Nothobranchius furzeri: one gene and its partners. The protein of the gene in region 3 purifies or fractionates together with the protein of the main gene of each other region. This does not show direct contact. Links are inferred from orthologs where the notes say so. Each region holds a gene or a part of one and is shown on either strand. Other genes may lie near its edges. The genes, in order: bckdha, bckdhb, ppm1kb and dbt.

What was found.
Region 1: the proteins of ppm1kb (region 3) and bckdha purify together in Homo sapiens (affinity purification with mass spectrometry; 4 studies listed by BioGRID and IntAct, counting the BioPlex papers as one, with this or other methods). This does not show direct contact. The link is inferred for Nothobranchius furzeri from reciprocal best matches to the Homo sapiens genes PPM1K and BCKDHA.
Region 2: the proteins of ppm1kb (region 3) and bckdhb purify together in Homo sapiens (affinity purification with mass spectrometry; 3 studies listed by BioGRID and IntAct, counting the BioPlex papers as one, with this or other methods). This does not show direct contact. The link is inferred for Nothobranchius furzeri from reciprocal best matches to the Homo sapiens genes PPM1K and BCKDHB.
Region 4: the proteins of ppm1kb (region 3) and dbt purify together in Homo sapiens (affinity purification with mass spectrometry; 4 studies listed by BioGRID and IntAct, counting the BioPlex papers as one, with this or other methods). This does not show direct contact. The link is inferred for Nothobranchius furzeri from reciprocal best matches to the Homo sapiens genes PPM1K and DBT.

What each region holds. Positions count from the first base shown.
Region 1 is NC_091753.1:46,803,159-46,811,934, forward strand, and holds part of bckdha (2-oxoisovalerate dehydrogenase subunit alpha, mitochondrial), read right to left. Parts: intron 5,601-8,776; coding exon 5,424-5,600; intron 5,339-5,423; coding exon 5,252-5,338; intron 5,176-5,251; coding exon 5,067-5,175; intron 4,356-5,066; coding exon 4,194-4,355; intron 4,117-4,193; coding exon 3,910-4,116; intron 3,774-3,909; coding exon 3,632-3,773; intron 1-3,631. UniProt on the Homo sapiens protein: Together with BCKDHB forms the heterotetrameric E1 subunit of the mitochondrial branched-chain alpha-ketoacid dehydrogenase (BCKD) complex.
Region 2 is NC_091745.1:53,279,887-53,288,662, reverse strand, and holds part of bckdhb (2-oxoisovalerate dehydrogenase subunit beta, mitochondrial), read left to right. Parts: intron 1-5,807; coding exon 5,808-5,948; 3' UTR 5,949-5,960; intron 5,961-7,378; 3' UTR 7,379-8,776. UniProt on the Homo sapiens protein: Together with BCKDHA forms the heterotetrameric E1 subunit of the mitochondrial branched-chain alpha-ketoacid dehydrogenase (BCKD) complex.
Region 3 is NC_091744.1:11,910,917-11,918,467, reverse strand, and holds the end of ppm1kb (protein phosphatase Mn(2+)-dependent 1K), read left to right. Parts: intron 1-387; coding exon 388-553; intron 554-2,419; coding exon 2,420-2,564; intron 2,565-4,458; coding exon 4,459-4,593; intron 4,594-6,130; coding exon 6,131-6,262; 3' UTR 6,263-6,649; downstream 6,650-7,551. UniProt on the Homo sapiens protein: Serine/threonine-protein phosphatase component of macronutrients metabolism.
Region 4 is NC_091748.1:80,630,387-80,636,562, forward strand, and holds part of dbt (lipoamide acyltransferase component of branched-chain alpha-keto acid dehydrogenase complex, mitochondrial), read left to right. Parts: intron 1-5,410; coding exon 5,411-5,488; intron 5,489-5,557; coding exon 5,558-5,749; intron 5,750-5,831; coding exon 5,832-5,903; intron 5,904-5,982; coding exon 5,983-6,150; 3' UTR 6,151-6,176. UniProt on the Homo sapiens protein: The branched-chain alpha-keto dehydrogenase complex catalyzes the overall conversion of alpha-keto acids to acyl-CoA and CO(2).

The DNA of each region.
Region 1 (8,776 bases), on a different chromosome or scaffold from region 3:
ACTTTATTTCGAACACCTGTTGTTCCCAACAGGTTTTTCTTGCTCACAGAACATTCCTTCCTGTTCGTATTTACTTCATTCCTTTGTTGCTAGGTGCCTGTAGCAATTTCAGTGATGTTGGAAATGTCCCTTGAGCTCTAATACTCTTTATCTGATTTGTTGCTAAATACTGATAAGGCCATTGTAGTGGGGGATTTTAACATTCATGTGGACATTGAAAATGATAGCCTCAATGTAGCCTTTAGTAATATCTTAAGACTCAATTGGTTTTACCCAAAGAATACATAGCTCCACCCACTCCTGCCATCATACATTAGACCTTGTGCTGACTTATGGCATAGAGTGTCAGGAAAAAATGATACATAATCCAGTCCTCTCAGACCACTTTTTGATAACCTTTGAGTTTTTTATAACTGAGTTCTCGAGACATGAAAGTAAATTTCACTATAGTCTGTCTCTATCTGACAATGCTGTTGCATCTTTTAAATCAACTGTTCCATCTTTACCATCTTCAGCATCTCAGAGGAACATAGCAGAGGGCAATATTTTTCTTTCTAGCCCTTCACAAATTGATGCTTTAGTTCATGTTACTTCCTCTTTACGTGTGGCATTAGATGATGTTGCCCCTTTAAAAAAGAAGGTAATTAGGGACAGGAAGTTGGCTCCCTGGTTTACTTCTCATTTACGAACTGTAAAACAAAACTCTAGAAAATTGGAGAGAACATGGCGCTCTACACCATGAGGAGGCCTACCTATCCTGGAGAAATAGTCTTGTGCTTTATAAAAATAAGCTTCAACAAGCTAGAACTGCTTATTTTTCATCGCTAATTGAAGAGAATAAGAATAATCCTAAATTTCTTTTCAGTACAGTTGCCAAACTTACACAGAATCATAGCTCTGAACTATCTATTCCCTTAGCCCTCAGCAGCAATGACTTCATGGGATTTTTCACAAGTAAAATTAATTCTATTAGAAACAAAATCATTAGCAGCCTCCCTAATGCGATTTCTTCTTCCTCAGTAAGTGAGGCAGCATCAGAGGTAACTGTAGAACCTCATCTGTGTTTGAACCGTTTTGCTCCAGTTGAGCTTTCAGAGTTATCAAAAATATTAGCTTCATCTAAACCTTCAACTTGCATTTTGGATCCAATCCCAACCAAATTATTTAAAGAAGCATTTCCTTTGGTTACTGCCCCCATTCTAGATATAATCAATCTATCCTTAGTAAATGGGTATGTACCACAAGATTTTAAGGTTGCTGTAATCAAACCTTCACTTAAGAAGCCTTCTCTGGATCCAGATGACCCAATGAATTATAGACCAATATCTAACCTTCCATTTTTATCCAAAGTCCTGGAGAAAATAGTGGCCATCCAAGTATGTGAGCATTTAAACACTAATGCTCTGTTTGAGGAATTTCAGTCTGGTTTTAGAGAGTATCACAGCACTGAAACTGCATTAGTGAGAGTTACAAATGATATTCTCATGGCCTCAGATAAGAATCTTGTGTCTGTTCTAGTCTTGTTAGATCTCAGTGCTGCCTTTGACACAGTTGATCACAATGTTCTTTTAGAAAGGCTTGAACATGTTGTAGGGATCAAAGGAACAGCGCTAGGCTGGTTTAAATCTTACCTGTCTGATAGATATAATTTTGTAAACATACATGACAAATCTTCTTCATACTCCAGGGTTACTTGTGGAGTACCACAGGGTTCAGTGCTTGGACCAATTCTTTTTACTATATATATGCTCCCAATTGGTAAAATCATTAGACAGCATGGGATGAACTTCCACTGTTATGCTGACGATACTCAGTTATATCTATCCATTGACCCTAATTAACCTAATCGGCTAGTTAGATTACAGGCTTGTCTTGAAGACATAAAAAATTGGATGACTCAAAACATTTTGCTTTTAAATCAAGACAAGACTGAAGTTCTCATCTTTGGACCTGAAATTCAGAAACGGAAATTGCTTAGTCAATCACCTGACCTAAATGGCATTAAATTAGTCTCAGAGAACAAAGTAAGAAACCTTGGCGTTATCTTTGCCCAGGACATGCCATTCAAATCCCAAGTTAAACAGGTTTGTAGGATTTCCTTTTCCCACCTTCGGAATATTGCTAAGATTAGATGTATCCTTCCCAGGAGTGATGCTGAAAAACTAGTTCATGCATTTATTACATCAAGACTGGATTACCGTAACTCATTACTCTCGGGAAGTCCACAGAATGTAGTTAAAAGTCTTCAGCTTGTCCAAAATGCTACAGCTAGAGTTCTGATGAGAATTTAAAAAAGAGATCATATCTCTCCTGTCTTAGCTTCCCTACATTGGCTGCCTGTTAAATTCAGAATAGATTTTAAGATCCTCCTTCTCACATATAAAGCTCTTAATAATCAAGCTCCATCATACATCAGTGACCTGATTGTTCCATATGTTCCTAACCAAGCAATTCGCTCTCAGACTGCAGGTTTACTGGTGGTTTCCAGAATATCTAAAAATAGGATGGGAGAGAGATCTTTTAGTTATCAGGCTCCTCTCCTGTGGAACCAACTCCCAGCTTTAGTCCGTGAGGCAGACAGCTTGTCAACTTTTAAGACTAGGCTTAAAACATTTTTATTTGATAGGGCCTATGGTTAAAATCTGATGTTAGCCCAAATCTGGACAAGTGGGGGAGTAGGAGGTGGAGTGTACAGTCGGTAAAGATGACTCTCCCTTGACCTGCCTCCAACACGCCTACATCTAAAAGGCTAGGTCATCCAGAGTTATCTCTGTAGTTATGCTGCTATAGGCTTAGACTGCTGTAGGATACACTGACCACTTTCCACACTTTACAACTTTCTTCTACAATCTGCTCTTTAACTGTATTTCCTGCAATTTCAGCTGTTAACTTTATTTTTTCTCTAAGTGTTTTTCTCCCCAGAAGGAGCTACAATGATGTTCTGCTTAGCTGTGGTAGCCTCATGGAGGGGGCCATCATCTTGAACACTGTTGCTAAACACTTAAAACATTCTCCCTCTCCTGATAATAACATTTGACTTTCCTTGACATTTAATGTGCTACTACTAGTTTACCCGTTTAATTATAGATTCAATAGGATAAAAACAATAAATAAAGTTTATCTCTCACCAAATAGAATATTTACTAAGAAATTACAATGTAACCATAGAAACATTATTTGGTGTGTGCGTGTGTGTGTGTGTGTCTGTGTCTGCTCTGTCTTCTCGATCCCCAGTGAGTCGTGGTGGATGGCTGCTTATACTGAGCCAGGATGCTCTGCAGGTTTTTTCCTGTTAAAAGGGAGCCTTCCTCTCCACTGTCGCTGCATGCTTGCTTAGTGTGAGGATTGCTGTAAAGTCACTGCCACTAGTGGACACTAGTCAGTGACTCGATGCAATTTGCTGGGTTACTTATATAGGAAACTTTTTTCTGATTGGCTTAATGAATTGACTTGTATTGGAATGTTTATTATTTGAAGTGCCTTGAGACGACTGTTGTAGTGATTTGGCGCTATATAAATAAACTTGAATTGAAAAAACTTGAATTGAATTTTGCAACAATGGAGAAATCAAAACAAAACACACAACTAGACCTGGTCTGGAGAAAAAACAAAGTCTATAGTTCATACCGACCTGTAGGTCATCGCCTCAATAAGAAAAGGCTGATTTTCAGCCACAGCTCTGCGACGCGCTTCCTTTGTAGCGTTGTACACCGCAAACACATCGTTACCGTCAACACGAATGGAGAGCATCCCGTAACCTGGCCCACGAGCAGCTGGTAGACAAAATAACAGGATTTTACTGAGTATTTTACAGGGCGTTCATTATTCATAACTTAAAACCAAATGACAATAAGAATAGTTTAAAAAAAAAAGCCTTTAAATCGGAGAAGAGAACCAAAGCGGGCTTACCAATGCCATCTCCTCTGTACTGCTCATTGGTTGGGGTGGAAATGGCGTAGCCGTTGTTGCGGCAGAAGAAAATCAGCGGACACTCGAGGGTCGCCGAGAAGTTGAATCCAGCGTGAGCGTCCCCCTCACTCGCTGCTCCCTCTCCGAAATAACAGATCACGGCCCGATTCATGTTCTCTCTCTTGATTGCATACGCAGCTCCAACCGCTGAAAAGGGACGCAAATGTGAAGAAGAGCAAAGTTTGCACTGAGGAAGTGAGAACGACTAAAGGCTGCAAGCTCACCTTGAGGAATCTGCGTGGCCAGAGGGGAGGAGATGGTGACAAAATTTAGATCTTTGCAGCCATAGTGGACGGGCATCTGCCGGCCCTTTCCCAGGTCGTCAGCGTTGGCGTAGCACTGGGCCATGAAGAGGTCCAGGGGGAAACCACGGTACATCAGAACTCCTGTTTGAGCAACGCGGAAATTATCACCGAACTCAAGGACCTTCATAAAATGTTTCATGGGCGACGGTGGCACAGGAGTTAAGAGCTTGCCCCGTAATCAGAAGGTTGCAGGTTTGAGCCCCACTCAGTCCGTCGCTGTCGTTGTGTCCTTAGGCAAAACACTTAACCCACGTTGCCTGCTGGTGGTGGTCGGAGGCACCGGTGGCGCCAGTGCTCGGCAGCCTCGCCTCTGTCAGTGCGCCCCAGGGCAGCTGTGGCTACATCGTAGCTCATCCCCACCAGTGTGTGAATGTGTGTGTGAATGGGTGAATGACTGATTGTGTTGTAACGTGCCTTGGGGGGTTCCAGGACTCTAGAAGGCGCTATATCAAATACAGGCCATTTAGATTTGATGCATCAGTAACTGTTTGCAGCAGATTTACCAAATGTGATTTTTTTTCTTTTCTTCTTAAGAAATCCTGAAAATGTGTCTGATTTGCTTACATAAATGAAAAAAAAGTAGCAACCAATTTGCATCAGCTGTTCGACCAACTGGAGGCAACAACTCAATGCTTTGCATAGCGTCACAATAGAAAATACAAAAATGTGTTTAACAAATTGCTGACTGACAAGTAAAAGAAGTAATGATTACTTTCTATTTTAGCCGTTTTACACTTTGAGTGAGAAAAGGACCACTCCAGAAAACTCGGAGACAACGTTAGAACCACTTGCCTGCTTCTCTATATTGACCAAAAACCAAATCACTGGGCTCCAGAGCTGCAGCACTGCCAATGTGTGTCCCCTCCTCACCATAATTAGTCATGTAGAAGGATATTCGGCCCTGCAACCAAAACAAAATACCACTTCATTAAAAAAAAATACACTTCATTCACCTTTCATAAAAAAAAAAAACACACCTGTCTCTGAGACTCGTACAGAATCCGATCCATCGTGTTCAGAAGCGTCATCTTCTGATAAAAATTTAGAACCGTCTCTTTGGACAGCTGAAAAAACACAAACATACTTTTTTAGCCTGTCGGGAGAACATGTGTGATTTTAACGATCCAGAACGGAGGCAGAAAAGAGTACCTGAGGGTCTTGAGAAGGATTGATTATTTTCCCCAGCCTATCCATGACCCGGTACACCGGGATCCCAGAGATCACATTGGGCTGGATGAAGTCAAGCTGGTCCACGAACTCGGCCGAGGCGCCGGGGAACTGAGGCTTTTCCAGCGACGAGTCGAAAGTCTGCTGCTGGTGCGCCGCCTGGAAGTTAACAAAGATTTTAAAAACAAGACTCACCAACAAATCAGCAGCTATAAATGGACATTTCCTCGTGACATCACACCACAGAGAGGGAATATAATGAAATAAGAGTGTGTGCTCCATCTTCTCAAACCCCCAGTGAGTTGTGGCAGACGGCTGCTCACACTGAGCCAGCTTCTTTTGGAGGTTTCTTCCTGTTAAAGGGGAGTTTTCCTTTCCATTGTCGCTGCTTGCTTAGTTTGGGGATTGCTGTAAAGTAACTGACACAATAAGCTAGTGACTCGATGTCTTCTGCTGGGTTTCCGTGGATATAAAAATGTTACCTAATTGCCATAATGAACTGAGCTCAGTACACTGATTTGTAGGTTCAATTGGAATGTTTACAAAGTGCTTTGAGGTGACTCTTGTGATTTGGCGCTATATAAATAAACTGAATTGAAATGATAGGTTTATTAAAGTTTGAGCTATAACCTTTATCTAGAGTAGCGCTCGGCAATAAATAAAAAATGTATCGTTATCAAAATTTCTGACTCTTATCAAAAATAATTATTCTCATGTCAATAAATTTGATAATAAAAAAATGAAAAGAGGTGTGTAGGTTGGAAACATTCATGTCCCTTTAAGAAGCTGTACCACTTTGAGTCACATAAAAGCCCCATCTAGTGGACAACTTTTGTTTCTGCGCATACCTGTAGTAATCGTCCATTTATCGATATCAATATTGTCCATTTATCAATATCCACGATATATCGTGATATTGATAAACACATATCGCCCAGCCCTAATCTACAGGGTAAAATATTTGAACGCAAAATATCAACAAGTTCTGGACATTTATGAAGCGTATCTTAAATAAATAATACTTGGCCAATTTCAAGAGCACAGGTGCTGCAGGCTGGTGAGGGAGTGCCTTGTTAACAAATCATTTGACCATTTAAATTTTCCACATGTATGTTGAGGGTAAAACAAACATGACCTACTAAAATTGCATCTATTTGAATAGATGGTTTTGTGAGGTGAAAGAAGAATTGGTCCCTAAAGGCTTTAGTTTGTGGTTAGGCTAAATCAGTAGGTGAAAGACTTAAGGTGTGGTTAAGTTAGAACAGAATAGACTTTAAGGATCCCACAGAGGGAAAATTCACTCGTTAAGGCAGCACATACACTTAAATAATACAGGTAAATACACAAAGGCAGTAGGCTACTATTGTAACCTTTATCAAATAAAAGAATGGATAATAATAGAAAATTTGAGTTTCTAGGAAGATGGTAAATAGCCTGTATTTGTATAGCGCCTTCTTAGGGTTCTACAACCCCCAAGGCACTTTACAAGACAATCAGTTATTCATCCATTCACACGTTGGTGATGAGGAGCTACAACGTAGCAACAGCTGCCCTGGCGAGCGCTGACAGAGGCGAATCCTGCCAAACACTGATACCACCAGTCCCTCTGACCACTACCAGCAGGCAAGGTGGGTGTCTTGCTACTGCTGTCCCATTTAATATACCGAATGACCAGAAATAACAGCATAAAGAACACAGACATACAATCGTACAATCATAATAATGTTATTTTAACTTACAGTTTAGAGGTTATATTCTGTAGCGGTTGTGCTTCCTGCTTAGACGTGTCCTTCACAAATTTTGTCAAGTGCAAGAAAAGTCACCATCCAGATTTAAAGGTATTGAACACTTGTTTAATCAATACATCTGTAGTGGTCTCTAGTAGGAATGAATACCTTGTATGTCATATTCTGGGGGGAAAAACAGCGGTGTGCCATTTTCAGGAACTAGAAGTGAGCCACATCCCAGCTGAGCTTCAGAGCGCAGGATTTGGAATCTTTTTTCCTTGTATTGGAACATCCTGCCTCGGGTTGGATAACAGCAACATGACTCTACCACTGACTTGCAATGTGGATGTTTTATCTCCACAAATACCTTAAAGCTTGGTTTATGCTTGACGCATTCACTTTCCGCTTGGTGATGCGGCTCGCGGATGGAACGCGCTTCACAACTCGCAGCGTTTATGGTTCACGCGGCTTGTCTCTGCGGTGAGCCAATATTCTCCCAAACTGAACGGGGCAGCATGAAGCTCTACGGCATGCATCCAACACTAAACCATAGTAGAAATTACTGTTGTTTACAACATGGCATTCCAGCATTTTTAACAGCGTCCTCGTCTTTTCCGACAGTGCAAGCTATTTCTCTCCAAGATTTATTAACAACACGTTGATCAAGGTGATCTCTGAGAGCTGAATCATACAAATGTCTGTATTTACGAACCTCTGCCATACTAGTTCTTGCCAGTCCGCCATGTTTTTCCACGTCCGACCGTCCGCATGGTTAGAATTTTTTCATAGGTGCGCGTTGCGGAAATTTTGGGCCGTGGTTGTTAAAATGACGCAATTTCACAGCGCGGACCTCGCGGACGCGTCAAGCATAAACCAAGCTTTAGCCTAAAGGAGTTCTGCTGTGTGGGGGAGTTTCTAATGCTAACGTTAGCTTCTACTTGCCAAGTCGTTCTCTGCGGTTTCCTGGGCGCTAAACCATCTACAGCCTTCCCTGTCGTGAGTCAAGATAGGTGGGTTCAGGAACGTTCAGTGACAGTGTGATGTAGATCTGTCAGGATTTTCTAATCCTAGATTTTCACTGTGTATTTTCTAGCAAAAGCTAATGCAGGAGATAGGTGTAGGAGATTGTTTTCATGTTCAGCCTGCATGAAAAACTCAAGAGTGACTGATTATAATCAGAAATAAGTTTTAAGTATTTTTTCTCAGTGTTCCACATCTTTAAACAAGTATGTGTGAGCATGCTGCTGGACAATTACTGCACTGCATTTGAATACAACTGATAAAGGTCTCTAGTGCAGGGACACACAGAACCGTTCAAACGCCTAGGGACAGTTTTCAACCTGACATGCGTGTTTTTAGTCTACGAGGAAGCTCACGCATGCACGGGGGTGGGGGTGTTGCAAACATGCAGGTCATGGAATTTGTGACCTCCTAGACATCAATGTTACAAACTGTACCGCCAAGCAATCCTAAAGTGTAAAAGTGCATTTCAAAATTATAAACCTTTTATAACTAAGCCGTCTTTGTTTACTTTAGTGGTGCAATTTTCGACAGCACTATGAGCTGTATTCATCTCATGATGCTGTTGTATGATTATGACCTGTAGGA
Region 2 (8,776 bases), on a different chromosome or scaffold from region 3:
CATGGGTTACCTTTGAACTGCAGTTCAAAAAGATCTACCGACCGCAAAATTAGCGGAGTGTGCGCGGCGTGCTGGCTGCACCAGTGAGGTGAAGTCACCAGGGGCCAAAACAAGGGATGCGCTCCGCAGCAGTGAAGTGCATAAGACACAAATAAATAACAGAAAGTATAAAAGGATATGAGCCGGCATGAATGACCATGTGTTAAATATGTTTTTTGAGGTGGCAACTCTTTGAGAATATTACTGTGGCCATGCTCAGTACGCAGCTGTCTGGAGTGCATCAACAATCAGAGCTCTGCACCTCTCAGCTCAAAATAAACCCCGGAGAGTCCACATAAAGTAATTTAAGTACAACCAGGATCTTTTTCGGGCTCCCCCTGGGTGTCCCCCTTGTTCTGGCAAGATCCGGCTCAACCCCTGGTTTTACTACAATTTAAATGAAAAGTAGTGATATGTGTTTCAGCAATGCCAGTCACGTACTGTGAGAAAAGTTTATAATTAGCATGACTACAAATCAGACGTCAGTATGCCGCATATTTGACGTTACCACAAAATATCCTCTCCCCTAGCATAGCTGCTACTTACCACATGGCCAGATTCATGGTGTTTCTTTCCTCCTGAAGAAGGATTTGAAGTTCGCTTATTTAACAGCCATTTTCCCTTTGTTTTTCTCTGTGTTTGGTTTGATGACATCACTTTTGTGATGCGCATTTGTATTCCTGGATTTATTTTCACACAAAATAACGTTTACCCCTGTTAAAAAATAAGCGCTTTCTTGGTATCAAAATGTGTCTTTAAAATTCACGGACATCATATGTGAAATCCATGGCAAGCGGGATTAGAAAATAGCGTTTTTAGCCTCATTAACTTGCATTCATTGTTTTCGTTCTTCTGGGGAACCATGGTCTGGATGTAGATTTATATCAAAATTTTAGTGTTAAAATTGCTCAAATGACTTTATTTTATTGCTGTAACTCATTTTTTAAACTTTCCCTGTGCTTAAAAATGTCAATGCAAATTGTTACAACAATTTCATTGAGTATAAGCAACCTATTTCATTTAAGTCAGAATAACTTGGACATGACAACTCCAGTTTTACAGTCAAAAAAAGTGTTTATTTATTTTAACCTTTGTATTAATATTTTTATTGCAATCAAGCACTAATATTAGAAGAAGGACATAGTTGCAGATGTGATCATTGCTAAAGCCCAGTCTAAATATCCAGTTTCAGTGCAAAGTGTCAGCACAGTACAGAAACCATCTCATCATCCCATCACTCAATCAACTAGTGAAAAATATACTTACTTAACTTAAACTATAATGTACTTTAGTACTACTGGAATACATTTTAAATGTAAACAGCGTGATTAACCGGAACATTTTGTGTTTCTAATATTTCTGTTAGCCCTTTCCTCTTCTCCAGCCCACCTTCCTTGTTTATATTCTTACTCGTCTCACCTTTTCATTCACTGTCTTCTATTAAATGTACGGTAACTGTACAGAATAAAGTGTAAAGAGCAAAACTTGCAAAGTGTGTATGTACACTCAACATTTCCTGCTGAATAATTGGACAGCTTAACTCTTCTCATTTTTAGTACAGCAGTTTCCTTCAGACATAACCTGAGATATTAACTTTTACTAAACTTCAAGTCCATTTCAGGTGTAAACTTAGTGTACTTTAGGTAAACCTTAAAAACATTTAAACACAGTGTGTTAACAAATTACATTTCCTGCTCAAATAGTGGACAGTCTTCAGATATTTTACAACAGCAGTTTACTTTTCAGAGACATTACTTTCGGGCTTGCTTTCATGCTATCCAGCTCAAGAAATACCTTTTGAAACACTTCTAAGGTGTTTTTAGTTCCTTTGGGTAGCTGAGATTGAGTGAGTAGATCAGTCCCATTAGCAAGGCACAGGCTCTGGGTACGTCTACTTCTTCCAGGACTTCTGTTCCCTTAATTACAATCCGGGTGCTGGCTAGATCAGATGAGGCACCTCTGGTTACAATGATTTTCAACACTTCGTTGGTGAGATCCCCATCAACCTTGCATAAATAGGTCAGAATTAAGATCAGAATTAAAAACACAAAAAACTGTTAAAAACAAGACTTACAAAAGTATAGCTTTTCTGTGTCAGATTTACCCACCAACTGCTCTTTAGATTCTCCTCCTTTTCTCCAAGGTACACCACCAATCTATGGATTAAAACCTCTCTCCTCATTTCCACAGAATCATCCTGTGAATAAGATGACAAAAATATTAACGTATTCCTATATGAGGAAGGGTTTCTAATCAGGGTTCTTCTCATAATACTTTACCCCATTTCCATGACTATTTAAGTAGTTTAAAGGGGAGCTGCTGTTATTTTTAACCTGGACCTTATTTCTAGCATGCAAAACGTTCATTTACTCATCCAGACAACTTTGGTGCTATCGGAGTCTTCCGGGAGATTTTCCCCATAAGTGTATTTCCATATAATGAGATAATAAGTAATGCAAACGGCCTCTAAATAAGGCATTATCTGACACAAAATGCCTTCATTTTACTAATGTTTTGGTATAAATCGCTAGCGCTACTCACCTGATAGTTCGGAGCATTGATGTTATTATCCAGGATGTTTTACAGTCGTTTAGTACAACCAGCAGGCGCTTTACTGTCAATAGCCGGCGCTTTCAGTGGTGTCATGGCCATGCGCCATCTTAGTTGTTATATGAGCAGCATTTGTACATTTTCCTATAATTCCGTAATCAACCGTCACAGAGCACAGAGTGAAATTTCTGCTCAAACTACAACTAAGATGGCGGGCGATCGTGATGCCACTGAAAGCCCTGGCCGCTAAACCAACCTATATATATCTCAAAAAACTCAGACAGCACTAAAGTTGTCTGGATGAGTAAATAAACATTTAGCATTTTAGAAATAATGGCCAAGTTGCAAAAAACTGCAGTTCCCTTATTAATAAAAGGCAATAATGAGGTTTTTGCTCCAGGAGGAGAGGAAGAGGAGAAAATTGGGGGAGATGAGGAGCATGATGACAAATAAGAAGGGAAAGACAGTAAAATGGGAGAAAATGGAGGAAGGGGCCAGGACAAGATGGAAGAGGAGAAGACAAGGACAGGTGAAAGAGAGAGGTTTAGAGAAGCGTGGAGAAGAGGAGGAAGAAGAAGAGTATAATCCAATGAGACATTAAAAAGGAGATTAAGACATTACCAGAAAACAGATTTGTTTATGACTTGTTTCAAGTGCAGTTTCACAAATTTCAAGCAAAATCTGCCAGTGAAATAAGATTTTTTTTCCTCGTTACAAACCCTTGTTCCACTGGCAGTTTTTTTCTGTTTGATCCAAGTGACTTGAAAATAGCTTGAAATAAGTGAACCTAACTTGGAAACAAGTAAAAAACAACTTACTTTTAGGTAATGTCTCAATGTTTAAAGTAATGAGAGATTTTGACTAGAAAAATATTAAATATTCTCTGTTTGATTTTGAGTTCTTGCAGTGAAGCGTGAGAAAAAAGGGGGGAATGAGTAGAAGAGGAGTGAGGTAACGGAAGAGGATTAGGGAAGCAGCAGAAAAGGAACCGGACAGAGGAGAAGTAGAAGAGGAAGAAAAGACAAGAAGGAGGAGCAGTGGAAAGAAAAAGAAACAGAAAAAGGGGGATTTTCTATTTTATTTGAATCACATTGCAGCATCTTCATTATGCGCCAAATAGGCACTCTTGCAGCCCCTCCTCTTGAGGACACAAATGACATTATTTTTGGGGTGTACTTGTCCAGTTTTGCCATAAATGTTGCCTCCAAGTTCACTGTAGTGATTCTTCTGAATTCTTCGTTTGCCTGTATAGAAATAAAAGGAAGGAAAATAAGTTGTTTTTGTTGTTAATCTATTAATTTTGTTATCAATTCCAATACAGCGCATAATGAAAACCATTATGAAAAAAATGTTTACCTAAACTGCATCAAAAAGAGCAGGCCATCGGTTTTTTTAGTCTGTGACTGGTGGTGCCTCATTAACCACTTCCTGCCTGCAAATTGAGAACGTGGTGCAGCAGTATTATAGAAATAACTTGCCTATATGCTGTTATTTAAATTTTTGATATTGTTGTTGGGAAATCTTGCAACCAGTTTGTCCTTTTCTGAAAAAGAAAAATACAGTTAAAACCAACTCAAATTTTTTTTTATTCTGCCTATTGGCTTTAACATTACTGTTAAATATACATAAAATAATTATCTTAATTTAACTTAAACAAGCAAACAGCAAACTATTCCATACCATTTTACAGTTCCTCAAGTTATTTATAGCTATTTTTAAAATAATTATTTACAAGTTCCATCAGTTATTGTAATAAATGTCCCGGACATTTTGTGTGTGCCATCCCTCTTCCTGCTTTCACAGCGATCGTAGGTGCGCTGCAACCCACACACGTGCGCACACACCCTCTCCCAGTCTCACAGCAATCACTCTACCGGTGTGTGCGTGTGCAGCGCGCGTACATTTTTTCTGTTTTTTTAGTGGCTCGGGAGCCTGCGGGTACAGTGTGTATCTCTGAGACCCGTTTCGTTTGCGAACGACAATTCACTACATGGTCCGGAGTGCTGGCTGAGTGTTTTGCTAACCTGTAGGAAACATCAACGACAGTTTTCCATAAAGTAGCTAAGGGTTACCAGAAATGTTGCTGGGTTGTTCGCTAGCTACTTTCAGAAAAAGGTCAAAGAAGAGGATCAGAAAAGTTAGAAATAGCGACAAAGTCACTAGGAGGTGCGCTCGATTTGTAACTCAGAGTAATCCACGAGGGAGGAGCAAATAACCGGCTTGTTTCGTTTTTAATAATCGTTCAAAACTCAGATTGTAATTGTGATTAAAATTCCATTTATTGAGCAGCCCTACTGGAGGTGTGAAAAGTAATGAAAATGCGGGACTGTTCTGCACAAAGCGGGTTATCTGGTCCTTCCTCCTTGGCGAGCTAAAGACTGCTAACGGCTAGCACTTTTCCACAACATTTCCTCACTAATGTCAGCTAAAATAGATGTCTGCAAAAAGTAGAACTAAAGATTAATTTCCACAGCAGTTCTAGAACTGCAAGTTTCAGCACCTTGGAGCCGATTCTAATGCACTTATAAGTTAGCTAAGTTACTTTGAAGACATTAGCTAGCTAACTGATAGCTTAAAGCCGAGGACAAAGCAGTCTGCTTTCTAATTTAATGCTGTGTAATTGAGCGCTGATAGTTACTTGCTATTGCACATAAAATTAAGAAAATAAAGAAAAACATATTTACTTACCAATTAAAGTTAATCCAACCTTGACCTTCTTTGGTGTCTTTCCCTCTCTTTGCTGCTGGAGTCTGGCAGCATAAAATGGCCGTTGGTTTCATTTCATTCTTTGGTTTCACTCCTTGCACACGTGATGTGAAAGGCTGCTGCAACAACTTAATATTATAATACAATATTAAGTTTCAATAACTTATTACTCTTTGTTAAGTGAAGGCAGAAATGCTTATCCAAAATCACTGAATTTCTGAGTTAAGACAGCTTTCACTAGTTTTAGTTTTGTTCAACTTCTTTTCAACTTAACAAACAATGGACATGTAACAATTTCTAATTTTTATGCAGAAAATTTTTCTTGTTTTTAAGTCCTAATAACTAACCTCCTGAATCATTTCTTAGAGTGTACGTACCGAACTGAGATTATAGGTGCACCGTTTTCCCCCTACCATTCCTCGTCTGTACAGTGGTGGGGTAGAGCTGATGTGATGTATGAGTTCTATTTTAGCAGTGACAGTATGTATGTTCGTGTTTTTGGTTTCTTACAGGAGGAGTGCTTTCTTAACCTGGAGGCTCCCATCAGTCGGGTCTGTGGTTATGACACCCCCTTCCCTCACATCTTTGAGCCCTTCTACATCCCTGACAAGTGGAAGTGCTTTGATGCAATAAAGAAGATGATCCACTTCTGAAAATGCAAGCAGGTAGAGAAGATCTGTTGGCTTCTTTTAACATATATTTATTGCATAGCAATTAATTGCTATTTTACTTAGAGCCTGTTGCCAGTTTCCCTATAGTCTGTGTAATTTATTCTAGTGGTTTTAGTGATTTCAATGACAGATTGATTTAACCTAAAGCTGGTCGAATAATTTAATTTGAATCTCAATTATGATCTGGGATTTCAACAGTCTAATAAGAGATTATTTGTTTCTCCTTCACTTTTTACTCTTGCGCTGCTCCGAGTTGTAAACTGAGCTCACTTCCCACACAGCAGCACCAACTTAGTGTCTTTGTCACTATTTCCAACGGCATGTTAATTACTTTCTTTTCCTAAGAGTGCCTAGGCAACCAGCTAGTGATGGAGTTGCCATTGTTATTGTTCAATAAGTGTGTGTTAACATTAATTAAAGATTGTGTTAAATAATCGAGATCTTATATTCAATCAAAATAATCCTGGTTTTCATTTTTGTCATAATGGAGTAAGAATTAAACAAGGCCAAAATAGTTTTAATCCGTACTACTTGACCTAGTAGAGTTCGTTAATTACTTGGCACATACAGACATAGAAAAGCTGTTTGTTAAAAGGTTAGATTTTATCACGTTATTTTAGTTTCAAAATGTCTCTATTTTCTATATGTTTGTGTACTTTTAGCATGATTACTGTCAAAAATTTACTGTTCAATGTAATTTTATTTTGTTGTGTAACTAACTGTAGCTAGTTTGTTATTTAATTTTATTCTGTTGATAATGTTTGTGTGTCCAAAGTAGAGACAGGTTAAAAATGAGGAACTCTTGTAAATCACATCAGTTGCATTCAGTTTATTGAAGCTGTGTTCAGCTGTACCAGCATTCCTCAAATACATTTCATTTATTTATATAATATTGATGATATTGAGGAGAGTGTTCCTAGGTATTCTGTGTACAAAAGTTAAGGATTTTAGGTTCCTGTGACATTTTTCTACTCTTGGATTCACATCTGTATTTAGGCACACTGAACTGTAACCAGAGCACCCAGTACTGATTCTAGTGACAACTGTCACCAGGTCATGCAAGTTATGGAAATGCCTGTGAAGTTCTGTAAAGTCATAATGTGTATCTGATACCGTATGCCAGATCTGTCTTTTATTATTTGCAGGAATAATGACATTCATTAACTTGGGACAGTCGCAGAGCCACATTGTTTTAGAATTCCTTTTTAATTGTCTCTGTCATTTTGAGTTATTGCTGTTGAACTGCTGGCTTCCCAAAAAGAATGACGCATTTATTAGATACTTAATTGAATCCAACACATGTCACCTCTCATCATCACTGTTCAGCTCAGTCCAGCTCTACGTTTTCCTCATCTGTCGTCCACCATCGAGTGCCAAGTTCTTCACTTGTTGAACCATATCTCCTTCTGCAGGGCCAACTGCGGGTCAACCTCAACTCCACACTCTCCCCACATCTATTCTTCATTCATCCAGCTAGTGGAGGGCTTCCAGAAAAATGCTTTGTTGACCATCCAGTCAGAAAGCAGTATCCAGATGGCATCCATGTCCCTCACTCTGAAAGACTGTTACCATATCTCCAGATTGGAGAGCCGTGTTCTTCTGGAAGGGAGAGGTGATCGACTTTTATCAGTGGTGAAACGTAGCTTCAACTATTCTTGTAATTCACAGAAAGCATTTCCCCCCTCAACAAAGCCTGTATTTTTGTGAGACACTGTTTGGTTGAATTTGTGACTTTCTCCCGGTTTGTGTTAACTTTGGTTAAAAGTGTTCAACCCTTAACATATTGTACTGTTAAAACCTGCAACAATACAACAAAAAATTGTTGAAAATTTGTGTTTTGGTTTATTTTTTAGTGTGTCCAAATGTTTTAGGTTTTTATTTTTTCAAGCAACCTAAAAATAGCATTTTTCAAGTGATTACACGAGTGTCTTAACTTAGGTTAGTGTCATATCTGTAGCAAAGTCTACATCCTTTGTTCAGATGTAAGGATTCATGGAACAAAATCAATCATCTGGCCTTTGTTAAGTCTTCCTGATGAGTAAATGCAATCTCAGTTAAACAGTCTGACATTATTTAACAGAAACAAATGTAACTTGCTGGAAATGATTTGCAGCATTTATAGCAGCTTGAAGTCTGATCCTGTTGATTGGATACAACTAGTAACTGATCATCTTCACTGTGAATCCCTCTAGAAAAATGTCTTTTTTTCTCCAGTTTGCTGTCTGGAGTATACAGATGTATGTTGACACAATGCTTAGAAGGAAAAACAACAGCATTGGTCTGAGCGAAGCAGGTGTTACTGCCCATCATTATGGGAAGGGACGTTATGAAGGTTCAGTTAGTACCACATTCAAACCTTTGCAATTTCCATCATCGGTTACCCATGTTTTTGAGGTACAAAAACATTACAGTAAAAAGATAATTCACAACCAGAAAACATTCAAATAAGTTGGCAATCTCATGCGGTGTGGGTCTCCCAGCAGGTTCGTTCTGAGGTCTGTCGGTGCAATGTTTAAAGGAACCGTAAAAATACCCAAGAACTGCATCTTAGATTCCTCAGGCTTTAGTTAGTGTGTTAAATGGTCTAATTCAGTTCAGTCCAGTTAGAGAAGTGCTGAAGACGTTTGGCATGTTTGGAAGGGTTTCCAAGAGGAGACTTCTCAAAGAAGCAAACGTTGTTATTGCCTAGGCTTACAAAGTTGCGTATAAACAAACCAATAGACCTCTGGAAGAATGTCCTTACAGACGAGATGGAGACATACCTACCCAAAATGCACTGCACAGTGTTTAGTAAAAATGTAGCCTGTCAG
Region 3 (7,551 bases):
ATTTTTTTGTTCTGTTCTCAATGTTCTTATGGACATTGTGAAAAAAAATGTTATTCTGTTATGTTACGTTTGTGTTGCTCTTAATGAATCAAGGCCGACGTTGGACACCTGTGACTGTTGTGGGTCACTTTATAACAAGTGCTAAGATTCATTCTTAGACTAAACTGTTATAAAAGTTGTTCTGAATCTCGGCTCCGTGCAGCAACAGTTCCATCTGCATGTTTTTGTTTTTTACTGTGTAATCTGTAGTCTGCTCTAAGTCTGTAATGACTTTCACACTAACGTGTTTGTGTCTTCTTTGTGGTTGGGAGGTATACCATTTGATTGTTCTTTTGTTTTTGTTCACATTTTCTTCCATGTCTGATGGTTCCTCAAATGTCTTTGTAGGACCAGGAATAAACGCAGGAACCACCGCCACCGTGGCCCTGCTAAGGGATGGCATTGAACTGGTTGTCGCCAGTGTGGGGGACAGTCGTGCCATGTTGTGTCGCAAGGGAAAGGCCCTGAAACTCACTGTCGACCACACTCCTGAGAGGAAGGATGAGAAAGACAGGTAAATGATGTCGGCATCCTTTCACTAATGTAAAACTTGGCTCTACTGAAAATTACTTTGATGAAGAGATGTATAAATTGGACATTTTTGTGAATAATAAAAAAAAAAGCATTTTTGTTTAGCTTTGCTTATTAGGGAAATTTTTGCGTATTTTTGTTATGGAAGTCCAGGATTTATTTAAAAAGGTTTTAGCCAAAACTAAAGAAGAAATCCAACAAAGAAAAGGTTTTCTCAACATTGGTTCTCAGCGCCTCCCTGGCCTACATGTTTTTCATGTTGCCCTATTCAAACACCAGTGTTTCCCCTGCTGCCACATACCTGACTTAAATCAGTGAGTGATTAACAAACTTCTGTAGCACTTGACGTCATCCTGAGGAAGCACTGCAAACACGTAAATCAGGTGTGCTGAAGCAGAGACGTGGAACACATGTGTGGGGACCAGGGTTGAGAAACACTACCTTATGCTACAGTAGCCCCATGCTATAGTAGTCTTTATACTATAGTAGCCCTTAAGCTATAGTGTGGCCCCATGTTCTAGCAGCCCTTACACCATAGTAGCTCTTACATGATAATAGCCCTTAAGCCTAATTTATACTTCTCCGTCAGCTCCATGAGGGAGAGACACGCACACACGGACGGAGGCAATTTGACCTCATTCTTCTCCGTTTCCTGGGGGGTGTTGCAAAGTAATTCCCTGGCAGGACAACAGATGGCATAGTGCTGTTCTGTGGTATCCTGTCATGTATCTGGTCCAAGATGGTGTGTTTTTATAGTGTTTTTTGTGTTTCAGTTACTCAAACTCATTAACTGCCATTGATGACAAAAGTCGTCATTTTAAATACAACCGTTCACTGCCATTGATGACTTTGCATTTTTTTACTGTGTGGGCGTGGGAATGAGCCCCCGCACCGTGAGAACAAACATCCCAGGTCTAAAGCTGATCTCCACCCGCGTACATCACACGTCTCGTGATCAGGAAGCAGAAAATCTGTGTTAGGTCGTTTTGGGCTGCTGCTGTAAAAAAAAAAAGAAAAGAAAGGAAAAAAAAAAAGTAAGGCGCGAACTGGAAAAGCAATTCGGCACGGGATTACGAAAGAACGGATAACACTCGAAACACGCAGAATCTTGCTGATGTAAGAGGTGAGTCTACTCTTTGTTTTGGTAGTTTTGGCATTGACATCATAGAGGGCAACGTTCTGTGACTTAAAAAAAATCCTGAAACGCTGGCTGCGCAGGGCTTTTCTGATCAGGAAACGGCTGGCAGTGAATGAGGTAACACGGACAAACTTGTCCTTCATCCTCCTCCACCTCTTCATGCGCTTGCCACCTCTAAACCCACATTTCCCATAATTTCCATCCATGGATAAAATGCTTTCCGCATATCTTTTCACTCTCTAGTCACAGTGTAGTAAAACATTCATATTTTTAGAGTTTTTCCACAAGGTATTCTTCAAGCTGCTCCTGTGTCTGCCACTAGGTATCCTTGGCTCTCTTTGTTTTTGAGGGCGCTGTACACGACAGCCGCGTCCTGATCAATCACAAGCTTGCGTTCTCCGTCTCAACAGACGGATGTTTAAAAAAGAGAGCTCGACTTTGTTCGTTCTTGCGAGGGCTCTCCAGCAGGCTCGCAAGGACAGATAATGGCGTTGTGTGCATCCTCCCCAAGGCAGAAAGAGAAGTATAAATTAGGCTTTACTCTAGAGTAGCCCTTAGGCTATAGTAGTGTGTGTGATGAAATTTTTCATATTTTTCATTTTGAAATATAAACAAATTTTTTTAAATGTCTAACCAAGGTGAGAAAGCATTGTTCTATTTCTGTATAAAACAAAAAAAAAAGCTTTCTTACAAATGTACTGTGGTCTCAAGGATAAAAAAAAGCGGAGGGTTTGTGACATGGAATAGCCTTGGACAGCCGAACGTTAACGGGAGGTTGGCAATGACACGCAGTATCGGAGACTTTGACCTGAAGAAGACAGGGGTCATCGCTGAGCCAGAAACCAAAGCAATGACGGTAGGAGGTTTATTGATAGTTCATTTTAGAACTGAAACCAGTCATTTACACTGAACAAAAATATAAAAGCACCACTTTAGTTTTTGCTCCCATTTTTCATGAGCAAACATCTGAAAAATTGTCTACATACACAAACGTCTTATGATTCTTAAATATTGTTCTGAGATTGTTCTATAGCGAGAGTTCGAGATAGGCGGCCACCGATGTTGCGGACCGAGTCCCCTAGAGAGGTCAACCGTGCAGAGAAGTGATGGAACAGAAGAAATGACACCCCCAAAGACAAGCATGCAGTGAATAACACGACAGAATCAGCGGAGGACCAGGAGTAAGACACTGGTTGAAACCTGAGACTGGGATCTGCCAACAACTCACGCAGCACTCTGTTTACCACACCAACCCGAACCATGGTTGGACCACTGAACGTAACACAATCCACCGTAGTTGGAGAAAGAGCAAAGGAGATGTTATCATAAAAAGGAGAAAACTCCACAACAGACTTATGCTCACCAGGATCCAAGTAATATCGAGAGACCTCACCTACATGGACCGTAGCACTACGTGGAACTGTCACCCATAGGGTTTGAGATGGAAGCACAACACGTGTGGACACACCATGACGCTCATAGAAAACATCCGCTTCACGAGCAGGGGTATTAACTAACCAGCGTTAACCAACAACAACAGCAGTAGTTTGAACAACATGCAAACGTGGAGTCACAGTCATAGGACATTTGGAATCACCCGACAACCCATCAATGCCACACACAGTGTGCCTGGACACAAGAAGTGTAGGCCACGTGTGAGCGAACACACGCGCGTCCAGTTGGTGTGAGGAAGGCAGGCTCTGATTAAAGGGACTACGGGCAGACTTCCAGTCTCCCGTGAGGGGAAAGTATTGTAGGTTGTGTCATAGCCAGGTTAAATTGACCTAGCTGTAGATCTTGACCTGTGGGATCTCAAAATCAGGCCATTTCGTGACGTTACACAGGGCAACACATCTCCGTCACATAGAGTTGATCAGGTTGTTGATTGTGGCCTGTGGAATGTTGGTCCACTCCTCTTCAGTAGCTGTGTGAAGTTGCTGAATATAGGCAGGAAGTGGAACAGGCTGTTGTATACGCCGATCCAGAGCATCTCAAGCATGCCCAATGGGTGACATGTCTGGTGAGTATGCTGACCAGGCAAGTACTGGGATGTTTTCAGCTTCCAGGAATTGTGTACAGATCATTGCAATATGGAGCGATGCGTTATCATGCTGCATCATGAGGTGGTGGTCGTGGATGAATGGCACAACAACGGACCTCAGGATCTTGTCACGGTACCTCTGTGCATTTGAAATGCCATCAACAAAATGCACCTTTGTTCATTGTCCATAACATATGCCTGCCCATACCTGTACCTCGCCGCCACCATGGGCCACTTGTTCCACAACGATGACATCAGCAATCTGCTCATCATCACAGACATTCCTGCAGTCAGCATGACAGTTGCACGCTCCCTCAAAGGTTGCAGCATTTGGCATTGTGCTGTTTGATCAAACTGCACATTTCAGGGTGGCCTTTTATTGTGGGCAGTCTAAGGCACACTTGTACATTATTCAAGCTGTCTAATCAGCCCCTTGATATCAGCCCCTTGATATGCCACACCTGTGAGGTGGCATGGGTTATCTTGGTAAAGGAAAAGTGCTCACTAACACACATGTAGACAGATTTCAGAACAATATTTGAGAGTCATGGATGTTTTGTGCATGTAGAAAAAGTTTCAGATGATTGAGTTCAGCTCGTGAAAAACGGGAGTAAAAACAAAAGTGCTGTTTATATGTTTGTTCACTGTATTAAATTTGTTTTCAGAAATGTCCAGTTGTAAATTGTAAAATAATTGTTCTTTTCCTCAGTTGCATCATGTCCATGACTCCTTCCTGGCTCTGACCACAGATGGGATTAACTTCATTATGAACAGCCAGGAAATCTGTAACGTTATCAACCAGTGCCACGACCCCAAAGAGGCCGCTCAGAGAATCTCTGACCAGGTAGAAAAAAATGGACCGTGTGCGTAGCACTGGAATTTCAGCTGTGGCGCAGCGTCACGCCTGAGTTTATGTAGGGGAAACACTGCCTTAAGTGTATGTCCTTTTAGCACATACAGGTCCTTCTCAAAAATTAGCATATTGTGATAAAGTTCATTATTGTCTGTAATGTACTGATAAACATTAGCCTTTCATGTATATTAGATTCATTACACACAACTGAAGTAGTTCAAGCCTTTTCTTGTTTCTAACATTGATGATTTTGGCATACAGCTCATAAAAACCCAAAATTCCTATCTCAAAAAATTAGCATATCATGAAAAGCTTCTCTAAATGACCTATTAACTTTATCATCTGAATCAACCAATTAACTCTAAACATCTGCAAAAGATTCCTGAGGTTTTAAAAAAAACTCCCAGCCTGGTTCATTACTCAAACCCACAATCATGGGTAAGACTGCTACCTGACTGCTGTCCAGAAGGCCATCATTGACACCCTCAAGCAAGAGGGTAAGTTTTCAGTTTTCAAAACAAAACTCAAAACACATATGTTTAAATCTGCCTACAACCTCTGATTTTATTGAACTGTTTCTCTCTGTTTTTTTTTCTTGTTTGGGTTTTATTATTGTTTTATTGTATTACGTGTTTTCTGTCAAGTGACCTTGGGTGTTCTGAAAGGTGCTTTTAAATAAAATGTATTATTATTATTATTACATTACAGACATTAATGAACTTTATCACAATATGCTAATTCTTTGAGAAGGACCTGTACAGGTTCAAGAAAATCAATAAAAATATGAAAACGTTGCATAGAATGGATTTATGCAGGCTTATCATAAAAATTGTGTTCTACACCTATTAAAATGTAATGGTTTACTGTGGAACATGGACAATGTGGTGAACTCTGGTGTTCAGAGGTGGTGTTGCAGCAACAACTAATTTTCCAGCTGCTGAGATGTTGGTTCACTGCTGACACGTTCCAGCACCATGTTCAGAGACAAATATCATAGGATAAGGACTAATTTCTACTAATATGTTAATTTTACAACAGTATTCACTGTTAGAACATCTTCTGGGCCCAGAATCAGCTGCTTGACTTGTCAAGTCTGCCATTTTACACAGTCCCAACCTTGACTTGCCGAGTGGACTTTTCAGTGCAACGGTGCCCTCTAGTGGCTGTTAGATGTAAACGTCAACCGTGTTGTGCCCGACAGAATGGAAAATTTGATTTATCTTTTTTAAATATAGCTTTAAAAGGAGAAATTTTACATTCATTCTGCACACCTCTGAATGCCCCATGGAGTTATTATTCTTTTTAATATAGCTTTTTATTAAAATGTTCCATATTCCAACTTAAAATTAGCTCACATTTTTCATTTTAAATATGAGCAAATTTAAGTTAACTTCATTTATGTTTTGTATTTCAGAGGATTTTTGAGTTATTACTGAGATAAAATCTGTCATGGATTCAAGGACAATGTAACTGAATCATACATTTGGCCTAAACCTTATTGGTAAAATGTTGTTTGTGTTATTCTCAGGCTCTTCATTATGGCACAGAGGACAACAGCACAATCATTGTGGTGCCATTTGGAGCTTGGGGAAGACACAAGAGTTCAGATATCAGCTTCTCCTTCAGCAGAAGTTTTGTGTCCAGCAGCCGCTGGGCCTAGTCAGCAGGCCTCTGGGTTAAGAGGTGTGGTGTGCAGAGCCAGCTAACATGTGCAATACATTCTACGCCCTGGAATCAACCTAACGATAGCAGTATGTTTGAACAAGGATGCCTGAGGGGTATGATGTGTCATTTAAAGCAGCTTCTGCAATGTAAGGAGCAGCAAACTCATAATGTGCACCAAATTTAAAAAATGGTTTATACTAGCAAACTAATAAGTACCGAAAACTGGGAAGAATTTAAAAGCAGACATTTTTATTTAACAATAATAGTCTAAAGCAGATGTTTAATGTTGAAATAAAAAAATACCTAATTTTATAGAGGCAGAAGGTTTCACCTTTGATGCATTTCCAATATTTACAGCTACATTGTTAGAATAGTAGAAAAATACACCATCTGATACTTAATAATTCTAAAACGTTTTGAGCAGAAATGCAGTCCTGAGTTAAATCAGCACATTTTGATGCAAATCATCAAAATAATTTTTAGAAGTGTGATTTGTGAGTGTGCGTCCTCCACTCAGGCATGTCAGGCACAGAAGACCCTTTGTTCTGGCTTTGTGTCAGAGCTTAGTGAATAAACAGCGATGATTCATTTAAACCCTCCTCTCCCAAAACAACATCGTCTGAAAGGAGAGTTATTTAAACACAAAAGGCACAGAAAGTATTCCAGGTGCTAATTTTACATCTGCATCATCGGACCAAATTAATAATGAATTTGCTTCTCAGTTGATGCAAAGTAAAATTAAAGCCAAACAAGAATGACACTTAAATGTGTTTCACAACAAAAATGAGATTCAGAGTAAAGAAGTGAATTTTTGTGTTTCTAAACTGAACACTTACAGGTTTCTTTATTGAAATGACCTAATAGAGGACCACCGCTGTCCTTTCGCACAAAACAGCTTCAAATGTAATGCATATTAGTGCATAATGGAGTTTATTAAACCAGCCGTTTATTGCTCTGCACTGCAAAAACTGATTTCTAAGAGGGTAACAATGGCCTCATTTTTGGATATTTGTCTTTTTTTAAGTCTAGAAATAAATGAATTTTCTAGAAAAGGGTTCATCTTAAATATAATCCAGATTATCTTGTTTTGAGTAAAAAAAATCTCAATGGGGAAGGCAAAAGTTGCTTGGCTAGAAATCTTAAAATTAACAAATAAAATGAATTATTTTGCTAGTTTTAAGATTTCTAGCCAAGCAACTTTTGCCTTCCCCATTGGCAGATGTTTTTACTCAAGAAAATCGGCATCATATTTAAGCCTCTTGGTTCTGTGGACGCGGATCTGCG
Region 4 (6,176 bases), on a different chromosome or scaffold from region 3:
GGTCAGGGGTCTCATTTATCAAACATCCTTACTAAAACCGTACTTAAGCTCAGCAACACAAAAGTTCTTACACCAAGCAGGTGTGTTACCTATCAAACATGGAGGACACACAGCTGCACGCAACCTCCGCTTCATAAATCAGAGACTAACCAGAATGGTTCTCAGCTGCTTTTTAGTCACATCCCGCTCTCACCACGCCCACTTACTGCCATAAATGGTCAATGCAAAGTGCCTTGTGGACCTCATGCATATACATAAGCCGGCTGTTGCAGCGCTCCACCAATGACATGGCGACCGTAGATCAAGGCAGATCAAGGAAGCGCTATTTCACAAGCAGAAGTTGAGGTACCTGTGGGTGAGGTGGAGAAATGAAAGGAAGTGCTTTTGCAAAACAAATAAGAGAAAATCCACGGAGTGGCACAGCGTTGCTGAAGCCGTCAATGCTGACTTCTTCAGAGAGATCTGTGGCGGATATAAACAATGGTCCAATCTGAAGGTGGAGGATAAAAAAAAGATGTTTTGCCACCGCCAGAGTGTGTCTGCCACTGGCAGTGCCCTGGCACCTCTGATGCCCCACCGCTCCGTTAGGATCTCAGCAGTACTCGGACCGGAGAGCGTGCGTGGCATCGTGCCGGAGAAGGAGGGAGACACTGACCATGTAGAGGAGGCTGGTAACGTGCAAGCCTTTTATTAATGCAGATCAAACGTGTCCGTCATGAAAACATAAAACAAAACCTTATCTCGTCCCCCCAGTGACTCTGGACCAAGCGTCCAACGAGGCGACCGAAGGTGTGGCTGCAGGGTCGGCCTGTCTCACCAGTGTGCCTCGGGCGCATGGCGCACCTGGAAGTGGCCGGGTGCTAACTGACGCCGTCCTGCAGCCACAGAGGGACACGATTAGTGCGGAGAACGAAGTGCGAGAAGAACCGCACAGAATATGTGGCGTCCTGCTGAAATTTCAGGAACACAAAGAATTGGCAAGAAAATAAAAGATGGACATCATGCCTTCTGTGTTGTTCTATAAATGACGTGTGACAGGGTGGAGAGACGAGGGCCCGGCGGGATTCGATCATCACCCTCCCGGGTGAGAGTCACGCGCTCTAACAGCCAACCAAAGGGACATCCCCATTGGCCAAGTAGAAGAAGAAGAAGATATCATTTCTATAGCGCCTCTCAAGATAAAAATCACGAGGCGCTTCACAAAAACAAAAACATAAAAATATAAAAAAGCATTTAGAAAATGTTTAAAAATATATTTAAAATGAGCAAAAAAAGACAATTGTGATTAAAAAATGTAAAGACAGAGAGAGAGTGAACAGGAAAGAGGGAAACCAGTGGATCCTGAGGAAGGTGGAATAGGTGGGGAGAGCAGAATAAAGAGAGAGAGGTGAAGAAGGTCGTACAAAAGCCAGCTTGAACAGGTGAGTCTTCAGCTGCTTCTTAAAGGAGACCACTGAGTCCACTGATCTCAGGCTCAGGGGGAGAGAGGTCCAGAGTCTGGGGGCCACAGCAGCAGATGATCTGTCACCTTTGACCTTTAGCCTGGTGCTGCACAACCAGTAGGCTTTGGTCACTGGACCTCAGGGACCTGCTGGGGGTGTAGGGACTAAGAAGATCACCAATGTAAGATGGTGCTTGTCCATGTAAGGCCCTATAGACCAGAACCAGGATCTTGAAATGAACCCTGAAGTTGACTGGCAGCCAGTGAAGCTGGAGGAGAAGTGGGGTGTTGTGGGTGTGTTTGGAGGACTTGGTCAGAAGCCGAGCACAGGCGTTCTGAACCACCTGTAGACGGTTCAGGGAGGTTCTGCTCAGACACGTGAAAAGAGAGTTACAGTAGTCTAAGCGTGAGGAGATGAAGGTGTGGAGAACTGTCTCAAGTTCAGAGCGTGACAGAATGGGACTCAGCTTAGCAACGTTCCTGAGATGGAAGAAGGAAGAGCCAACAAGAGAACTGACATGAGAATCCAGGGTGAGAGCTGGGTCAAAGGTCACGCCAAGATTCCTGACGGAAGGTTTGGTGTGGGAAGCAAGCTGACCAAGAGAGTCTCTGACTTTGGGAACCAGCTTGTCTGGGGCACAGATGAGGATCTCAGTCTTATCTTCATTCAGCTGAAGAAAGCTCCCACCATCCAGGTTTTGATAGAGCCAGGGCGCATCATCAATCAGGTCACAGTAACAGGACACACACTGCCACAGACGCATGATGTTATGTCCCATTCTGTATTCTGCGCTTCAGCCTGTGTGTGTGTGTGTGGGGGGGGGGGGGGTGCTCTCCATGTCCAGTGTGTGTAGGCCAGGTCCTTAGTCAACTTAAAGTTGTACACATTTTTCCGCTACGTTTTCTTTCATAAATCCCAAAGCAGAGACGAATCATGACTCAGCAGAAGACGCCTCAGAGAAAGAACTGGAGACACTTGAACAACAAGTAGTTACCTTTGTGCTCAGTAAGAATATAACTACCCATAAAGAAGCTGTATGTACACGTCACACTCTGCCTACAACTCAGAGAACACAAAGGAACATGTACTGGTGCAAGCTAAGAGGGTTAAGATGAAATCTTCATTTAGCTAAAAACTAGTTACACAACCAGATCAGAGGCCTCACGGGGTGCTGTGAGTCAGTAGTGCATTTTTAATTGTGCTTTAAAAGCTTCAAGTGTAGTTGTGAGTCTTAATTCCAGTGGAAGGCCATTCCACAATGTTGGGGCGCGACTCTTATGTTCAGGTGGTGGAACGACCGGTAGGTTGTTGGCAGCGGAGCACAGTGATCTTGAGGGGGCGTGTTTCTGCAGTAGTGATGATAGATGAGGCGGCGCAGTCCCTGCTAGTGACTTGAATGTAAATACCAGAATCTTGACCTCAATGCAGTGTTTTAGCAGAAGCCGCTGCAGTGCATGTAATACTGGAGTGTTACATTTGTTCACTCCGGTAATAAACCTTGCTGCAGCGTTCTGAACCATCTGCAGCTCTGACAGTGTGGAAGTGGTCAGACCGACATACAGAGTTGCAGTAGTCGAGTCTGGAAAGCACAAATGCAGATGTTACGATCTCAAGGTCCTTTCTGGATAGCATAGGCTTGATCCTCGCAAGGCGCAAGGATGGGTTAGGGTTAGGGTGAGGGTTAGCATGATCTCACTACAGAGTTCACCTGTGCATCAAAGGTCAGTCCAGAGTCCAGTCTCACACCAAGATCAGTTACCACTTTACGTTCAAATTGTGCTAATGATAAGAGGTCTATGCTACATGGCTGATGGCCATTAGGTGACAAAACTATGACTTCAGTCTTGCTCTCATTACAACTGAAGAAGTTGGTCGACAACCGTGAACGCACGTCTTCCACGCATTCCACCAGAGACTTAATGAGCCAGACAACCCCTCTCTCACTGGCAGATAAATCAGGCAGTCGTCGGCATACGACTGGAAGTCAATACCGCAGCTGTGGAAGATCATGCTGAGTGGGAGCAGATAGATTGAAAAGAGCAGGGGACCCAGAACAGATCCCTGAGGGACCCCCCATTTCAGCTCTTTCTGAGACGATAAGTGATTACCTGTAGAAACACTCATAGTTCTACCAGTCAGGTAGGACTTCATCCAGCTCAGAGCTGCTCCTGAAATCCCCACCCACTGCTCTAGGCGTTCCAGCAGAACCTGATGATCCACAGTGTCGAACACTGCAGTCAAGTCACTAAGCAGCAGCACCACCGCCTTCCCAGCATCAGCTGCCAGGGACACGTCGTTGGGCACCTTTAAGAGAGCAGTTCCAGTGCTGTGCCCAGATCTGAATCCAGACTGGTGTGGTTCTAAGATCTCGTCGGTGGCCAAAAATAGACAGAGCTGATCATAAACTGTCTTCTCAAGGACTTTTGAACTGAAGGGAAGGCGCGAGATTGGCCTGTAGTTGGAAATAACTCCTGGGTCCAAAGCTGCCTTCTTTAGCGGGGCTTCACCACCGCATGTTTCAAAGTGTGGGGCACAAGGCCGTGACTGAAGCTGCTGTTTATGATGGACACTACCGGAGGAGCCAACACTGGAGAAACCGTCACACGGGGAACCTGATGGCTTCATTCTGGAGACCAGCTTCAACACATCCGACACAGTAAATGAGTCTAATGTGGCTGATAGTGGAGGTGGAGCCAGAGGGGTGTATAGTGGGTCATGTACCAGAGAGGCTCTTGCTGTTGCAGGTTTCTCCAGACAACACCTGGAAGTTCTCACAGCTCTCAACTGAGTCATCCATTGTAGTAACCATTCCCTCCGGGTCCAGCGCTGAACTCAGTGCTGGTCACCTGAGGCTGAAGAAATAATGCCAGCAAAATAGTTAATTTTAGCCCTCTTACCTGCCAGCTAGGTCCGAGCTAGCTTGGACCTAGCGAGGCTAGCTTGGACCTGAACAGCTCTAAAGAGATTTGAAGTCTGTCTTTCTTCCACAGCCTTTCAGCCCTCCTGCTGTCACGTCTCATGTGTCTGATTTCCTCTGACGTCCAACCTTCAGATTTTCTCCCAGACTTGACATCAGTGAGGGGCGCAGTCTCATCCAAGACTGATGCACATAGCAAGTCAAAACGATCAGAGAACAACTGTGGGTCAGGCGGGACTGAGTACTACGAAGGCCACTGGTTGGAGACAACCACAGAAAACATTAAAAGTATTAAAAACCAGTGGAGTTTTGGCACCGCTGGTCATACTACAGGTGGAATAGTGATGTCACAACCAAACCCAGGTGCAGCATGGTCAGAAAATCTACCACACTGGTATTGCTAGTCCTCTCGTTTGGGAGTCCTAAGTCCAGAGTGTGGCCGTGCTTGTGTGTGGGCCCGGTCCTCCACCAGCTGTTTCTCAGGGCAGCACACATGCATGTTAAACCTCCCAGAACTAAGACATGATCAGAATTGTGCATAAAAACTGACAAAAGTTCTGAAAAGTCCAATGTGGCCGAAATAAGAATTCCTAAAACTGTAGAGTCCAGTCCAAAATCCAGGAGGCATGGCTCGGAGCTTCAGTGAGTCGAGCCGTAAGAACCGGTTCACTTTACCGGACCGGACCAACTCTATGTGTATAGCACCGTTAAAGACACGGCGTGAGCGCTGAGCAACATGCTGAACAGGCAGGATCAGTTAAAGCACTAAAATCATAATATGATCACATGAATCTCTAAAACCGTAGGATTTTAAGTCGGATCAAAAACCCGCAGAGAGGACGCCAGCCTGACTGTAATGGAGGTCAGAGCACGCTGCCCCCGGGCTCTGACCTCATTTAAGGTCAGCGGGTCACTCTAAAGAGCCGGAGTTCCCATCACTAGTGAGCGTGGCTTTACATTCTGGTGCACCTTTAACCTCACCCCTGATTGGTCCAGAGGTCCTGAGCCTCAGTCCTGGCTTAGTGATAACCGTGTGCTCTCGTTGGCTCAGGCTGCCTCTCTGGGTCTCCTTCACTTCCCCATCCTAAACGCCTCGGTGGATGAAAGCTGTCAGAACATCACCTACAAGGTAATTCCTGGTGTTCACTGGTTCTGAACAGGTAGCTGGGTGGCTCTGACGGTTCTGGCTGCTTCTCAGGCATCTCATAACATCGGGCTTGCAATGGACACCAGCCAGGGTCTGCTGGTTCCCAACGTGAAGAACGTTCAGCTGCTCAGCGTGTTCGAGATCGCCCAGGAGCTGAACCGCCTGCAGGCGCTGGGGGCTGCAGGTCAGCTGGGTGCCACCGAGCTGAGCGGGGGGACGTTCACTCTGTCCAACATCGGATCAGTGAGTCCAACCGCACCGCAGTACCGCGTTCTACTGCAGAACCCGACCTGAAACTAACGTGGTTGTCTGTGATTGGAACCAGATCGGAGGGACGTACGCCAAACCGGTCATCCTTCCTCCTGAGGTCGCCATCGGAGCCCTGGGAAAAATCCAGGTGAGATCTTGTGCTGTGATCCCAAACGGGAACCAACGTGAGCGGATGTTTCTCAGGCCCGTTCTAACTGTGTGTCTAGGTTCTGCCCCGGTTTGATGCCAGCGGTGAGCTGATTCCAGCTCACATCATGAAGGTCAGCTGGTCAGCAGATCATCGCATCATCGATGGCGCCACCATGTGTCGCTTCTCCAACCTGTGGAGGGAGTACCTGGAGAACCCGGCCTGCATGGTGCTGGACCTGAAATAAACACATTCCCCATCAGCCCCGGGGTG